3 linked regions of the Arabidopsis thaliana genome follow. The protein of the gene in region 3 interacts with the protein of the main gene of each other region in a pairwise test. Each region holds a gene or a part of one and is shown on either strand. Other genes may lie near its edges.

Region 1 (5,501 bases), on a different chromosome or scaffold from region 3:
ATTCGATAATCTTATTAGGTGGAGCCTTATCAAATACGACCCATGAAGATTGAAGAGTATCATTTATGATTTTACCACAACTATTGCTTTTTCCTCAGATTTGACATTAATTTCACGATTTGTTTTATTCCTTTTCACTTTCTTTTTTGGAGTCAGCTATCTTATTAATTGGTGTACGGTGATAATCATAGCCGTTGGTTGTGGTTTGTTTTGAGTTTCAACGGTTGGGATTGAAAGCTTATCAGGAGATCTAAAATCTGAAACTGTACAACTTTTGTCTACCGTCCAGATAGAGAGAAAAGTACTGTCAAAGTCAGAGAGAGATTCGGTCTCTAGTCTCTGTTTTACTCATCTATATTGCCACGTGTCTTCCATAAACAAAAAAGAAGATCATCAAAACGCGCGATCTACCAAACACTGTGTACACGTTTAATTACACAGTAATTACTAATCACAATAGGTGTTTCTTGTTAGACGGTTTAATAACTATAATTACATAGGGTTTAATTTAACACATGAATGATTTAAAATGGAGAAATTAAGGAACCGTGATTAAGGTTGTCTGTCAGTCTTTGTCTGCAGCATTGTAGCCGATGAAGGAAGAAATTTGGGAGTTTGGTAATATGGAGACAAGAAATGACCTCTGATAATCCCATTTTTATATTATAAAATTCCCAAAATACCCATCTTTACTTGACCAAAAACTCACAACGAGTTTGGTAATACGGAGACAAGATTTGACCTCTGATAATCTTGTTTGAAAATTCCCATATTACCCTTCCTTCCTTGACCAAAACTCTTACCCGACTCTTGGTTGGTTCGGCTTTTCCGTCATATCGGTCTCACACGTGGAAGAACCATGTCCGATGGTTCATTATTTTCAAAAGCTTACTCTTTTTTTTTTGGTGTGGCAAAAGCTTACTCTTTTAAATAAGATTGAGTTTTTTTTTTTGGTAACATACGCTTCTTGTGATTAAGTTCATTTAAAGCAACACAATAATTCTTGTGTTTTTTATTTGCATGTAAAGGTAGACACAAAACTCGAATCTAAAATCAATAATTTTATTTGTTTAGTGACTGATTTGAAAAAAACGCAGAATAAACTAACCTGATTAAAAAAAAAGAGAGTTTATATTGGAGCTTACTGAATTCTATCGATCTAAAGTATAAGATGACAAAAAATTCCTCGTATCATTTGGGTTTAAATATATGATGGGATGGTAAATGGTAATTAAAGCCAATAGTAATAATTTATAAAATAATAACGACAAAACGAAATAAAGGAAGAAAATTTGCAAGAATAACTAACAAAAACTTATAAATTAAGAAAGTAACACAAAACAAAAAAACAGATATACTCTCTATATTATATATAATAATGGTATATTTACCCATTTTTCTCCACCTCATTCTAAGTCCCTCCTTCTCTCTTCACCTCTCATCTCTTTTTCTTTCTTCTCTCAATCTTTTTTTTTTTTCTTTTTTTGTATCACATAACAAACAAACGAGAAGGACAAAATAGATTTTTCAGATACCACTTATGTTATCTGGTTGCTTGAGTTGCCAAGGTTGTATCTTAGGGTATAGTTTTTCTATACATCCAAAATAGTATAGTACAACATTTTATTTCTATCCAAAATAGTACATGTTTTTACTTACAAACACTATTTACTATTTTATAAATTCAAATCCGATTTTAAAAATTCAAACTATTTTGTATGTAGAAAAAATATAGGTTTTTTCTAATAAATTTTATAATTGGAATTTATTTTTTGGAAAAGATATATAACAAAAAAAAAACAAATAGGTGAAAAACTAAACTAAATGTTACTAAATCATTTTACCTCCAATTCAACACTAAAATTGTCTTTTCCTTATCCTTACATGCTATTTTCTTAATTTTTATATATATGGTACTATATTTTTAATTTGTTTGTCAAATATGGTTATTCAGCTAAATCACCCAATAGAGACTCAATAGAGACTGAGAGAGAGAAAAAGAAGGGTTTCTCGTAAAATCTCCAAATTCATTTGAACTTTCCCAAACATTGGAATATGTGTAAGTCCCATAGGAGTAGGACAGAGTCGATAGGGGTGTGATCCTAACATACCAGAGAAAGATCGTCGAATCCTCCATTTCTTTTTATGGCAACCATATTTTAATTATATACTACTATTTATTAATTTAATTGGGTGTGATTTTTACTTCGCGTAATATAAATATGCTTTTTCTACATTTTCCCAATAATTTTGTAAAAGTGTAAAGTCTCTACAAAAACATTGTTTAGTCCTCCTTTTTTGGTCTAAATATTTGTTTAGTCCTATATCCATATTTTGTGACACTACTAGTATTATAAAAACATAACAAATTCTCAAGTTACACTTCTCGTTTTGTTTGGGTCAACCACACAACACCACAAGTTTTACTTGTACAAAGTAATTGTTTGTTTATGTTTTTCTGTTGTATGTATTTTTTTTAATTGGTCAAAAGAAAATATGTTTTAAATAAAAAGGTGAAAAAAGGCCTATGGGATTGGAATAATAAGATAGAAAACAAAATAGCATGCTTTGCTTCCTCCACTAAACTTCCTTTAAGGGCAGAGAGAGAGATAAAAAGATTGATTGCGTGTGTTTCACACCAATAAATCCCTTTATTTTTATTTTTTGGTCTCCAAATTTACTAACTTCTAATAATTTCCAATTTTACCCCTTATTTTTCTTCCTTTGGTTTTAACCTATTCACTGCATTTCCTTGGTATAAAATCCAACTTCTTCTCCTTCAAGAATCTAGAGATAGAGAGAGAGAGAGAACACAAAGTGGGAAAAAAGATAAGAACCCACCATAAAGTTTTAACATTTTTCCCTTCAAAAGGCGAAAGCTTTTGATTTGTATAAAAGTCCCACTTAATCACCTCTCTAGCTTCTCATTCCATTTCCATCTCCTCTCTTTTGTTTTCTAAGTTGCTTCAAGAGTTTTGGATAGTGTAGCAGAGAGATTTTAACTAATGGGTTTATAAAATTTTGTTCTTTTGCGTGAACAAGTTGTCAACTTCTAGACAGATTTTCTTTTTGAAGTGTTTTCTTGTCGAAATTCTTCTTCTTTTGGTCAAAGAACGCAAGATTCTTCTGTAGTTCCTCTAAAAAAAATCCTAATGGAGGGTTATTCAAGAAACGGTGAAATCTCTCCGAAGCTGCTTGACTTGATGATTCCACAAGAGAGAAGAAATTGGTTTCACGATGAGAAAAACTCTGTTTTCAAAACAGAGGAGAAGAAGCTTGAGCTAAAGCTTGGACCACCTGGTGAAGAAGATGATGATGAATCGATGATAAGACACATGAAGAAAGAACCAAAAGACAAATCTATCCTCTCTCTCGCTGGCAAATACTTCTCTCCTTCTTCCACCAAAACCACATCCCATAAAAGGTTTTAAACTTCTCATCTCTTACTTTTTGTTTTTCTCTGTTTTGTATCCTTCTCACATGATGATATTCACTTGTTATTAGCCAATAAGGTCCCATCTATCTGCATAAACTTTGTTCTTGTCTGCTTAAGATTGGATCTCAAAACTTTTCATCTTTTTACCCTTTTCCCATCTGAAAGTTTCAGTCTTTTTACTGCCCTAGTTTTCCTCTGTTTTTAACCTTGAGATTGTTCTTGTCTTACTAACAAGTTTTGTTTTGATGCCTTTGTGTTTTAAAGAACTGCTCCTGGTCCAGTGGTGGGATGGCCTCCGGTTCGATCCTTCAGGAAGAATTTAGCTAGTGGAAGTTCTTCAAAGCTTGGAAATGACTCAACCACCTCCAATGGTGTTACCCTCAAGAACCAAAAGTGTGATGCTGCTGCTAAGACAACAGAACCAAAGAGACAAGGAGGCATGTTTGTGAAGATCAACATGTATGGTGTTCCCATTGGTCGTAAAGTTGATCTCAGTGCTCATAATAGCTATGAGCAGTTATCTTTCACAGTTGACAAGCTCTTCAGAGGTCTTCTTGCAGGTAAATTTGAAACCTTTGTCTCTCTATTGATTATGGTTAAAAAAGGGTTGAATTTTGAACTCTAATTGTTCTTATTTTATCAGCTCAAAGAGACTTTCCATCATCCATAGAAGATGAAAAACCAATCACTGGATTATTAGATGGGAATGGAGAATATACTCTTACATATGAAGACAATGAAGGAGACAAGATGCTTGTAGGAGATGTTCCATGGCAGTAAGAATCTTTTCTTTTCTTTTTCGTTTTTTTCTGAATCTGAGTCAGCTTTTTGTTCTATCTAAAGGAGAAGTATTAGATTCCTAGTCACATATTTATTATATCTTAATCACAGTTTGATTAATAACAAACTTAGTTTGGTTAAGCTATTAAAGATTGTGGACTTTTTGATCACTAAAATTGATTATTTCTTAAATTGTCAGAATGTTTGTGTCTTCGGTGAAGAGGCTGCGTGTGATTAAAACTTCTGAGATTTCTTCAGCATTAACATGTAAGTGTAGGATTTTAATAACATTTTTTAGTTGTTTTGGTGACTCTTTTAAGTGAAGTTCTTAGAATGTTTTTTTGTTGTTTTGAAATTTGCAGATGGAAATGGTAAGCAAGAGAAAATGAGAAGATGAAGAAAAAGATCTTTTACAGCTTTTAAAGAAGTAGAGAGATGTTATTAATTGCATTTTGCCTTTAAACTTTGATGAGTTTTTGGTCTTGGAAAAGTTTCTGATATAAGTCTGATGTACATTCTGGTTTGTTACATCTTCTTTTGGCTTTTGAGATATCATAGAGTTTTGTTGGAACTCAAAGACCAAACAGTGCAATGATGATTTTGGGGTCTTGAGTAAATTTACAAACCCTTTTAGGCATATTATAATAGTCTTCTGTTTTTAAGTTTTGGTAATGATTATTCACACTTGATCAACACTTTTAAGTAATGTAACTCTCCCTATGTCAGCAAAGCATCCTTTTCGAAAAACGGAGAAAAGAAACAATCTTTTTCTCTGCCAAAAAGCTCTTTAGCTTTTATTAAATCTATACTTAGGGTATCCGCTATTGTAATGAACTATGAGAGTGAAAGGTTTTAAAACATTGAACAACTTTTCTTTAAATGAGCTGTTAGGACAGATATTCAAACCATTGTCTAACCACATCTTTCATCTTTGTCTGGACTCTTGGGCAACAAAATTACAGACATCATTAGATTATCATCTTCTGATTATTGATCTACATATTTGATAATACTTGATATGATATAGTTTCTATGTATAATCATCTCTAAATTTATGTTTCTAGTTTAGCTTTTGTGTTTCGTAGAATAGATATATAAAATAAAGGGTTGTTCATAAGCATATGTATTCATACGATCAAATCGTTTAAAAGGAAAAAAGGAAGAAAAAATTGGTGGGTATGGAATATTGATAAAGAGAGTACAAAATAGAAAAATTGAAGAGAAGTCTTTTTCGTTGAGAGTCTTGCCTAACTATTCGAAGCAGCAATATGAGACCTTATAGTTA
Region 2 (3,931 bases), on a different chromosome or scaffold from region 3:
CTTCCACCTCCGGCGAAAACGGCGGCGTGAGCAAACGATGAAACAGAGAATCAATTCACAGGAACAGATCTAATCTAAGCAGAGAGAGAGAGAGAGCGAAAACAAATTCAAAAATCAAAAATATCTGAAACGGAATGTTTCTGGAGAAGAGCGAAAATAAAAGTTTTTAAAACCTTTTTCACTTTGCTTTTTATTTCAGTAATAATAATCAAAAGGATTTGTTTTTGTGATAATGAGCTTTAAGGAAATGATCCTGTGAAGAGACACCTACTGGCTTCAGTGCTCCTCCACGTGATTTTGACGCGCCAACTGTTTAGGCTTTAAGAGAAGGAAGAATGTGGGCCCATACTGTTTTAATTGGGCCTATTAAGGCTTTATTGAGCTGATGTGTAAGGCCTGTTTAGACTTGTGCTAATGTTGGATGAGCATGACAAAATGATTATCATTGTTTGGTTAGAAACAGACCAAAACAGCGGGTAAGTGTTTGATTGTTATTTAAATTTTGATTATTATCGGGGAGTGGAATAAGCAAACATTAACGTATGTCTGTAGAATCGAAAAAAAACAAAAATCGAGACAAATTAATTAGATGATTAAATATAACATGTAGACGTAGTAATGTGTTAAACTATAGTCCTAAATTGAGATCTATGAAACCGAGGTAAGTTTTAAATATTTCCATGCCTCCATGTCGGATCTTCGAGTCTTCTAATTCGAATCCCGAGTTGAAATTTAAATGTATAGAGTAAATTATTGTTTGCTTCAAACTTAAGAAAATATGCTTCTTGTGCTTCGTTTTATGTCTTCTTGGGTTTGCTTTAGCTTATTCACCTATTGCTTGTTGGATCCACCGTTAATTTTTCATTTAATAGTCCATATGAAAATCAACATTTTAGCATAAAATTACAATTTTAGGCACAGTTATTTGACTCATACATGATTTACCTATACATTTGGTCACTCAACTTAATTATTTGCGATTTTAAAATCGTGTATAATGTTTTAAAATGACTTGAATTGGAATCAACTAATTTTAGGTAGCTCGAACAAACTTGTTATTTATTTATTTTCAGATAAGTTCCGTACACCAAAATCTATAACCGAAAAGACTTTGGATTATATTGTATGAGTTTAGAGTGCAATTCTTCTTTTTTTCCCTCTTTTTTGATCTAAGAAATTTCTAATTAAGTTCACATATTTTCTTGGATCTAATCACTCTAAACAACTCCTCCCAAATAACATGAGTTTTCATTATTATTAGAGGGGTGATGTCTACATTTTGGACCAAGGTCTAATACTTTGTTTTACTTTCGTCAAACCGAGTTAAATCCGAGAAGTATGAGATCAAACGTTAAACGTATTCATGTGTGTGTATGTGATGTTACATGGATAAATGGCTATGCATGTATATTCTATATGACGTTGATGTGTGGTCGTGTGGATATATGCGTGTGTTTACCGGTTAATACAATTTTTATATTCTTCGTATGTATGCTTGATGTGTGTATTAGTGTATGAAAAGAAAATGACGTGGAACTCCCGACCAGGCGCGAGTCAAGGAAGCGAGGCGTTCGGCGACGGCAGCGCGGTCGTCTCCGCAGCCCATGCGTTACAATTTACAAGATCTCTTTTTCTATGATACCTTCTTTCATTATTTAATTAATCACCAATTTATAATGTCTTTAATTAATTTGGAGTTTTCTAGCTAATTCACATTTCTTATTATATTGACTCTTTTTCACTGTTTTTATGTTTTCCCATCAGCTTTCTTTTTGTCCACGTAAACATTTCCAAACATTTTTATTTTAAAATTTCTTTATACTTGTATACATAAATACCTAATACCTTGCTGGTAATATATGGTCAAAATTAGTGAAACCTTGGAACATTTCCTGTAACAGCTCTTATTACTCTCACAGTCGCAGTGATAGATATATAGTAGAATAAGTTAGCAAAATACAATAATTGTAAAAACACATTTAATACATAAGCATGTGAGAACATTTTTACGTGAATCCAATTGTTCATTGAATAATTAAATATTAAATTGATTGTTAATTGAGGATTCATTGTCTAACGAGAAATCCAAAGAGCAGATGTACTTTCAAATTAAATGAAACATTTAAGACAACATTAAACCAAACGAAAATTGAAAAATGAAAAATAAAAGACACCTTTTTGTTTGCCACACAATTTACGCTTTCTCTATCTATTTATATGTACATACATTCACTTTCACCAGAATCTCATCAAACACACAGTCTCTCTCTAGCTTAACAAAAAAACACGAAACACTTTGAGTTCCATGTAAGCGTCCGTTGTCTTCTCTAAGTTACAAAAGCCCTAAAACCCTACTCTCAATATGAATAGTTTCGAGCCACAAAGCCAAGACTCTTTGCAAAGAAGGTTTCATCAAGACAACAGCACCACACAACAACCTCGTGACACCACGACACCTTTCATACCCAAACCGGCTTCCAAAAACCATAATAATAGCAACTCCAGCTCTGGAGCGGCCGGGAGATCATTCCAAGGCTTTGGGCTTAACGTAGAGGACGATCTTGTTTCATCGGTGGTTCCTCCGGTTACGGTTGTGCTAGAGGGACGTTCTATATGTCAACGCATAAGCCTAGACAAGCATGGGAGTTATCAGAGCTTGGCTTCGGCTCTAAGGCAAATGTTTGTCGATGGAGCTGATTCAACGGACGATCTTGATCTGTCAAACGCCATTCCTGGCCATCTTATTGCTTATGAAGACATGGAGAACGATCTCCTTCTTGCCGGAGATCTTACTTGGAAGTAATTTTCCTCCCCTAACATTAATTTTCTTTATTATTGTCAGGATGGCCATATATATACAAACTATATATAAAACGAGCCTTATTTTAAACATAGGAAAACTATATTAATTTTTTTTCCCCTAACGGTAAAATACTACAAACACAAGTTTTTCAAGCTGCCAAGAAAACACATGTTCTCTGCTTTTCTAAAAAGACAAATATCAATAATTTAGTGAAATGATATTTTGTTGCTATCCTTATTCTGTATACTCAATTTTGCTGGCTATAGTTATTTTGTTTGATACCGTTATATATCTTTCTTAAAAATTACGGTTTTCGTTCAATGTTTAGTATAATTAGATTTTGAAGGTTTCGTGATCTTTAACTGGCAATATTTTAATACTTGGACGTTAACGAGAAAATTTGCTTGTTGACACAGGGACTTTGTTCGTGTAGCGAAGAGAATTCGAATCTTGCCGGTCAAGGGAAACACAAGACAAGTTAAAAGAAACGAGTGAGGAGGAGAAAGACCGTTTTTGCAACGATGTCATACGATGTTTTGTAACAGCCGATGTCGGTTGAATCCTAATGGCATTACTGTAAAATCATCATTGGATGTGTTTGCTTCTTTGTTCACGTACGAAATGAAAAATAAAAAAAAAGTTGTAATACTAAATATAACCTATTTTTCTTAATTATAGTGTAAAACATGAAACGTTGCAGTAACAACACATGTTAGTGATGCGTAAAGAAGAGAGATTCCAAACCATAAAGAAGGAATCAATTCAGCTATACCGACAAGAACAAAATAAGATAAGCCAATGTTGAAACTTGTGGGTAAGAGTAGTTGTACAAAAATAATTTGTTTAAACGTTGAGGCAAATTTTTTTGTTTGGTCTCTCGTCATGTCACCACTTAGTTTCTTTTTATGTCTTCAATAGCCAGAAAATCATAGAACCCTTGACGACATAAAGCCTCATGGCCTTTGTCATGTACATGCCAAAACAATATAACAAGACAAAGAATAAGCTTCATGATTTGAGTTTTTATCATTACCTTGAAGACGTTTGTATCGTTTAGTTCGAATCTTCGAATGGAGGCAAGCCCCACTCTTCCGGTTTAAAATCGACTAGAGAGGTTATGATTTGATC
Region 3 (7,058 bases):
CAATTTAAAAATAAAAATACTTAACTAATGTATAGTTATTTATTCCCATCCATGCGTTCATATTCACTTTGAATGATCATATTCGTAATCCTATTTATTTATTTTACTATTTGAACCTTTTGTGTGTATAAATAATTTCAACTAGAGAGAATATCCGCAGCAGCTCGTTAAATTAGTCATTGAATTAAAAAAAGATATTCAAATTTTCACCCAAGAAAAACGAACGCAACTAAAATGACGTTCAAATTTGGCATCATCTTTAGGTGTATATTATTGTGAGAGATATGCAAGCATGAAATCTCATGCAGGATAAGAATCATTGTTAAATTTATTTTAATTCCGTTATATTTATGGTAATATCATCCTATTACCTTTTCTAAAATTATGTTTCACTCTTTAGTTCAACCTTTGGTGATGAAATTCGATTCTTTCATATCTCGTCTCCGCTTTGCAAGGATTTGTCCGTACAATAATCATATGCACTATTTTAATTATTTTTTTGTTGGGTGGGATTCAAAAAAGTTTTTTTTACCCCTCTATCAGCTAGTTAGAGAAGTGAGACTATATATGATTCCAATCAATAATACATCACATCTATATTTCGTCTTGTAACGCGGCCACATAATCTTCATCAACGAAGCTTGAATGTTGTAATAGTGTTTCACTATCAACAACACACATTTGTAGGCCTTATGTAATTAGCGAGAGAACTCTACAGTCTACACTATAACTTTGAGTGGAAATAAATACTCGTATATGGTAACATAAAAATACTATGAACTTATGATTATACAAACTTGTAAGTAAAAAAGAGTGGTAAGGCTATGTAATATCGTCGACGTTTTCTAGGTAAATCTTAAGCTATAAAAAAGATTTTGAAACCCAAATAGTATCGAGTGATAGCATTAGTCTCATCGGGTGGTTACAAGCCAACATTGATTCGTGTTGCAAATTTTATTAAATACAAGGGTGTACACAAATCAAAACGCAATAATATTTTTGGATCATAGTCTTTCTTCACTATCATTGGGAAAAATAAAATAAAATAAGAAAAATAGCGATAGAATTTCCTCTGTAAATGAGCAAAATTGGTAGGACAAGTCAGCATTTGACACGTGTCGGTCATGAATACGACTAAACAGCGTGGCAATTTCTCTTACTCTGACGTGTCCATGTGGGGACCACTTTCTCCTCCGACACTTCGGCATGGCTTTCTCAACTTTTTATCACTCTTCTTCACCATTCTCATTTACTAAGCGCGTGTCTCCCACCTCTATCCGATTTAATTTTTTAAATTTGACGTTTCAAAAGTTCCTTCTATAAAAGCAATTAACGATAATTATATGAAATCCGTAAACATGAATTTTTCAAATAATTTCGATTTTTGATTTGCTAAGATTAAAAGCGCGTGAAAGAAAAAAAAGAATACAGCATGAACACCAGCGACTCAGAACTGACTCGGCACGTGGTAACATAAAACTCACACGCTTCCCAAGACGCTCGTCCCATAAAGAGTCATGGCTGTGACCTTGTGCGAGTGTGGGTGTAGCCATAGCCTTTGTGGGTCCTAAATAAAAAAAACGATCAATGGCATAATGTGTAATTAACTCACATTCCACAGTGTTAAATAAAAATTAAATCTGTAACGGAAAAAACAATCTATCTGATGTTACACAAAAAAAAAAAATAACGGAAAAAAGAAAATGTGGCCGGGGTTTAATAGAGAAGCCGACACGTTTGCCTGCCACGATCCAGACACAAGACGATGTGGGTAACGGCACCGTCAAGTGCTAACGGCAACGGGGTCATCAGTAAAAAGGGCAATTTAGGGATATAGAGTAAAGTCATAAGCTTATTTATTACTATCGTCTTGATCGGACGGCTGAGATTTGCCCTCTCCTTTAAATGCACCGTACGTTTTTTTTTTACATAATAAAATGTAATTAGTTCATAAGCAATTCCCAAAACGCCGCGTGACCCTTCGTTTGCCTTTGAATACAATTTGTTTTATTTTAGCGCATTTAATATATTTGAGTTTCCTTTTTAGCGATGACATGATAAAACAAAAAACAACAATTTTAGAAAACATTTAATTAAATGAATAGAAAAATAGGGAGATTCAACTGAAGTTACTGTGGGTGGAAATGACAGGTCTCCAGGATCTGAACTAAGAGAAAGTCTCTCTATATTTTGATATATAGAGAGAGATAAAGAAGGAGAGAGTGTGAATATATGTATGTGCATGATACTGTGAGACTTCTTCAGTAAAGGAAGCAGCTTTGGTTTGCTGCGGATCGGGATAAAAACGGCGAGAAGTTTGTGATTGTTGAAGCAAAACAACACGGAATCTGAAAGGAAAGGAGAAGACAAAAAAAAAAAAAGATTTTAAGAGGAAGAGAGAGAGAGATCGGTTTCGTGGCTGACGGAAAAAAAAAGGGGAGAGATTTAGTTTTATCCAACAGTGCCTGAATTACGTTCTGCAATCAATACGGACATAACCGTCCGTTGTGTCCTGTTTATAAAGTTTTGCTTTTTTTATTTTCTCCATTGATGGGTCTTTTCTTTCTTCTCTCTCTCGTGTTTCTTTCATGGGGTTAAGACTAGTGTTTACCGCGTGAAGGTTTTTTTTTCTTTCTATTTTCTTTCATTTCCTCTCCTTCTACTTCTTCTTCTCCAGTTCTCATCTGGGTTCTTCAATGGCGAGTGTTGAAGGTGATGATGATTTCGGAAGTTCTTCGTCAAGTGAGTAGTAAAAGGCTGAGACTTTAGAAAGTTTTGTTTTTTTTTTTGTTTCTAACAGTGACTCTGTTTGGGGTTTTACTCTGTAGAATCAAAATCAGCTTTGTAAAGTTTCGATTTTTTTTTCTTTCATTTTCTCGGGAGACGAGCTTAGAAAGAAATAGAAAAAACCCCAACTTTCTTATTTTTCTCGTATAGCTTCAAAGTTCACATTTTTGTTATAGTTTTGCCGCGGAAATGTGACTGTTAGGGTTTTGTTGTTGTTTGATTTTAGGGTCTTATCAAGATCAACTATACACAGAGCTATGGAAAGTTTGTGCAGGTCCATTAGTGGAAGTTCCTCGTGCTCAAGAGAGAGTTTTCTACTTCCCTCAGGGTCACATGGAACAAGTATATACCCACCCAAAAATCATCTCTTTTTACCCCAATTTTTCTTTTTCCATTCTCTTTCTAAATTCTGGGTTTTTTTGCAGCTTGTGGCGTCAACTAATCAAGGAATCAATTCAGAAGAAATACCTGTTTTTGATCTTCCTCCAAAGATACTTTGTCGAGTTCTTGATGTCACTTTAAAGGTAAAGTTGGATCATAAATGTTAAAATGTTTTATTTCCCCTGAATCTGTTAACTAAATTTTGATTTATAGGCGGAGCATGAAACAGATGAGGTTTACGCTCAGATCACATTACAACCAGAGGAAGATGTAAGTTCTTAAAAAAAAAACTCAACTTTATTTCAGTGAGTGTTAATTTATATTGATTGGAATTGATTTCAATTTACTGTTTTGTTTGCAGCAAAGTGAACCAACAAGTCTTGATCCACCTATTGTTGGACCAACTAAGCAAGAGTTTCATTCGTTTGTTAAGATTTTAACGGCTTCAGATACAAGCACTCATGGTGGATTCTCTGTTCTTCGTAAACACGCCACTGAATGCTTGCCTTCTTTGGTAAATATATTCTTAAAGAAACCTTCTCAATTCAAGAAACTTTAGCTTGAATTCTCACTCCAATTTTACACTTTTTAGGATATGACACAAGCTACTCCTACTCAAGAACTTGTGACTAGAGATCTTCATGGCTTTGAATGGAGGTTTAAGCATATATTCAGAGGTATTGATTCTAATCTTGGTGTGTTTTTGTGAAACTGTGTTTGGACTAAATGAGACATTGACTCATTGAGTGCCGTTTTTGGTTTAGGACAACCACGGAGGCATTTGCTTACTACGGGTTGGAGTACATTTGTATCCTCGAAAAGACTTGTAGCTGGAGATGCTTTTGTGTTCTTGAGGTACTTTTGAAATTGAAACTTTATTCACTGGTCTTGTTTAGTTTCATGAACCTAAATGTAATGCCTTTGTGTTTTTCAGGGGTGAGAATGGGGATTTACGGGTTGGAGTGAGACGATTAGCTCGGCATCAAAGCACAATGCCTACTTCGGTTATTTCAAGTCAGAGCATGCATTTGGGAGTTCTTGCTACAGCTTCTCATGCTGTGCGTACAACAACAATCTTTGTTGTCTTTTACAAGCCTAGGTATATAGTAATGTTCTTTAGATGATTTTGCTTTATATACATAGATGGTTTAGGACTCTTTGATTGAAGAAAAGTTTTCTCTCTTTGCAGGATAAGCCAATTCATAGTTGGGGTGAACAAGTATATGGAAGCTATAAAGCATGGATTTTCTCTCGGTACCCGATTCAGAATGAGGTTTGAAGGAGAAGAGTCTCCTGAGAGAATGTAAGAATCCATTTTCTCTGATCATTTCTTTTTTGTCAGTGTTCTTGATTCTGAAACCTGGAACGTCTTCAGATTTACTGGTACGATTGTGGGAAGTGGAGATCTATCTTCACAATGGCCAGCTTCTAAATGGAGGTCATTGCAGGTTCAGTTAACCATTCCACGTTCTTACATTTTAGTGTTTTACTTATTACGTGGTCTTTATATAACGTTTTTGTCTTGGTCTTTCTTAGGTACAATGGGATGAGCCAACAACAGTTCAGAGACCAGATAAAGTCTCACCATGGGAGATAGAGCCTTTCTTGGCAACTTCCCCAATTTCAACTCCTGCTCAACAACCACAATCGAAATGCAAGCGGTCAAGACCCATCGAGCCATCAGTTAAAACACCAGCCCCACCTAGTTTCTTGTACAGCCTCCCTCAGAGCCAAGATTCCATTAATGCATCCCTTAAACTGTTTCAAGATCCATCACTTGAGAGAATTTCAGGTGGATACTCCTCAAACAACAGCTTCAAACCCGAGACTCCTCCTCCTCCAACGAATTGTAGCTATAGGTTGTTTGGATTTGATCTCACAAGCAATTCTCCTGCTCCAATCCCTCAAGACAAGCAACCGATGGATACTTGTGGAGCTGCCAAGTGTCAAGAACCCATCACTCCAACCTCAATGAGTGAGCAGAAGAAGCAACAAACATCAAGAAGTCGAACTAAAGTAATTTTCTTTATCAACTCATATAATAACATAGCAACAATGTTTTGAAAATCTGATTTCTTTGATCTTGGATTGAAAAAGGTGCAAATGCAAGGCATTGCGGTTGGTCGTGCGGTTGATTTAACACTGTTGAAATCTTACGATGAACTGATTGATGAGCTTGAGGAGATGTTTGAGATTCAAGGACAGCTTCTTGCCCGAGACAAATGGATCGTTGTCTTCACTGATGATGAAGGAGATATGATGCTTGCTGGTGATGATCCGTGGAAGTAAGTTCTAAAATAACAGAGTTAAACATTTCCGGTTTAGCTCAAATCAGTTAAATGTGAACTTAAACCGGAACTGATTTTGCAATGTTCTGTTGTGTGGGATTGTGCAGTGAGTTTTGCAAGATGGCAAAGAAGATATTTATATATTCGAGCGATGAGGTTAAGAAAATGACAACGAAACTGAAGATTTCTTCGTCGTTAGAGAATGAGGAATATGGTAATGAATCATTCGAAAATCGTAGTAGGGGGTGAGAGTTTTAGCTGTTAATTAAGGTTAATTCGGCGACGTCGTTTTAGTGCGTAAGTGTCTAAAGACTTTTTTTTTAGTCTGTGTATATAAAGTCTTGTCCTCTTTTTCATGTCAATTTTTCAAGTTGGCGATTTAATATTTCGGTTTTGGGACAGTGGTTGATGGGGCGGTTTTACATCTTTTATGTGTATGTACTTGTTCCATAACCATTCAATTTTCAAAACCAAGTACATTCAATTAGTTATGGGTTCAAAGATTATATTTCTAATCAATAATTAAGGCTTAAAAAAAAAAAAACTACAGTATTAGAGAAGAATACAAAATACGTGAAGGCGTGGAAATCAACGCGGCGGGCATCATATGAAAGTCATGGAAAAGTAAAGGAGTCAAACGACTAGTTAAGATTCTCTTTTGGAGTTGGTAAAAATATTTGTGGATTAATGAACTTCTAGGATATAGTGTTATTAGAAAATTGAACTGAAATCGAAAAAAATGAAAACTAAACTTTGGAAGTTCATGTTATCGTGCCAAAAATAAGTCTCCATGATGTTCTCTATAAAAATTCTTAAGTTTTAATTTCCAAACCTTTTAGCTGCATCAGATTTTTCTTTAATAAAATGCAAATGACAAAAGAAAGAAAATCTATTTTGTTTTCGGATAAAGTCACATATGAAGTGTATACTGTAGTTGATATTTGTCAAAAAAAAAAATATTGTTTTAAACTTTTAATTCAGATTTGCCTTATAATGAAGAAGAAAACAATACAATTATTTTCAAACTTAGTATTGGTTTGGTGGTGGTTATGTACTTATGTAGTATGGAGCAACTGTTTTTTTTTTGCTAAAGATTAATTGTTTTTGGTATGGAGAAATTGTTTTACTTTGACAAAAACCAAAAAAGCCTCAAGCTAACTAAACTGAATAGATTTTGGAGCTGTAGTATAGAAAAAAAAAAAAAACATTTTTCTGTTTGGATAAAAGATTTGTAAAAACATTTCTACCTTTATAAATGATATAAAGTTTCAGTCCGAACAAATCATACAAAACGAACATCCATAGGACCATCATACTCAAAGTATGAGCTACAAATATCGTACTCCATTAATATAAAATCAAACAAAACTTAAATTTTCATACATATACTAAGAAATTAATAGGTGACAGAAAACAAAATTAAACACGATCGTAGTTTTAGTTGTAGTCGAATTAAATCTGACTAATTTTCCTCAACCAAAGAGTACGGGTTTGACTTTCAGTTCGAGGAATGGTTATAGTTAAACAGCGTTGCATCTTCAATGACAATTACATATATTTAATCCATTGTCTTCTTCTTCAAACGAATCATAATAAGCAGAA

What was found. The genes of interacting proteins can lie anywhere in the genome.
Region 1: the proteins of ARF18 (region 3) and IAA18 interact in binary tests that used the Arabidopsis thaliana proteins (3 or more experiments, as listed by UniProt).
Region 2: the proteins of ARF18 (region 3) and IAA33 interact in binary tests that used the Arabidopsis thaliana proteins (3 or more experiments, as listed by UniProt).

Annotation. Positions count from the first base shown.
Region 1 is NC_003070.9:19,302,518-19,308,018, forward strand, and holds IAA18 (indole-3-acetic acid inducible 18), read left to right. Parts: upstream 1-2,563; 5' UTR 2,564-3,152; coding exon 3,153-3,424; intron 3,425-3,700; coding exon 3,701-3,996; intron 3,997-4,079; coding exon 4,080-4,212; intron 4,213-4,415; coding exon 4,416-4,483; intron 4,484-4,578; coding exon 4,579-4,613; 3' UTR 4,614-5,001; downstream 5,002-5,501. UniProt on the Arabidopsis thaliana protein: Aux/IAA proteins are short-lived transcriptional factors that function as repressors of early auxin response genes at low auxin concentrations.
Region 2 is NC_003076.8:23,267,662-23,271,592, forward strand, and holds IAA33 (indole-3-acetic acid inducible 33), read left to right. Parts: upstream 1-2,252; 5' UTR 2,253-2,362; coding exon 2,363-2,799; intron 2,800-3,219; coding exon 3,220-3,298; 3' UTR 3,299-3,431; downstream 3,432-3,931. Other genes in the region: GS1 (Haloacid dehalogenase-like hydrolase (HAD) superfamily protein), read right to left, coding at 3,857-3,931. UniProt on the Arabidopsis thaliana protein: Aux/IAA proteins are short-lived transcriptional factors that function as repressors of early auxin response genes at low auxin concentrations.
Region 3 is NC_003074.8:22,885,475-22,892,532, forward strand, and holds ARF18 (auxin response factor 18), read left to right. Parts: upstream 1-2,414; 5' UTR 2,415-2,696; coding exon 2,697-2,742; intron 2,743-2,793; exon of another isoform or gene 2,794-3,013; coding exon 3,014-3,129; intron 3,130-3,212; coding exon 3,213-3,311; intron 3,312-3,381; coding exon 3,382-3,438; intron 3,439-3,529; coding exon 3,530-3,682; intron 3,683-3,760; coding exon 3,761-3,845; intron 3,846-3,932; coding exon 3,933-4,023; intron 4,024-4,102; coding exon 4,103-4,267; intron 4,268-4,357; coding exon 4,358-4,471; intron 4,472-4,543; coding exon 4,544-4,616; intron 4,617-4,704; coding exon 4,705-5,184; intron 5,185-5,265; coding exon 5,266-5,453; intron 5,454-5,563; coding exon 5,564-5,705; 3' UTR 5,706-5,981; downstream 5,982-7,058. Other genes in the region: AT3G61826 (uncharacterized protein), read right to left, coding at 1,157-1,249; AT3G61829 (uncharacterized protein), read right to left, coding at 1,717-1,848. UniProt on the Arabidopsis thaliana protein: Auxin response factors (ARFs) are transcriptional factors that bind specifically to the DNA sequence 5'-TGTCTC-3' found in the auxin-responsive promoter elements (AuxREs). Could act as transcriptional activator or repressor.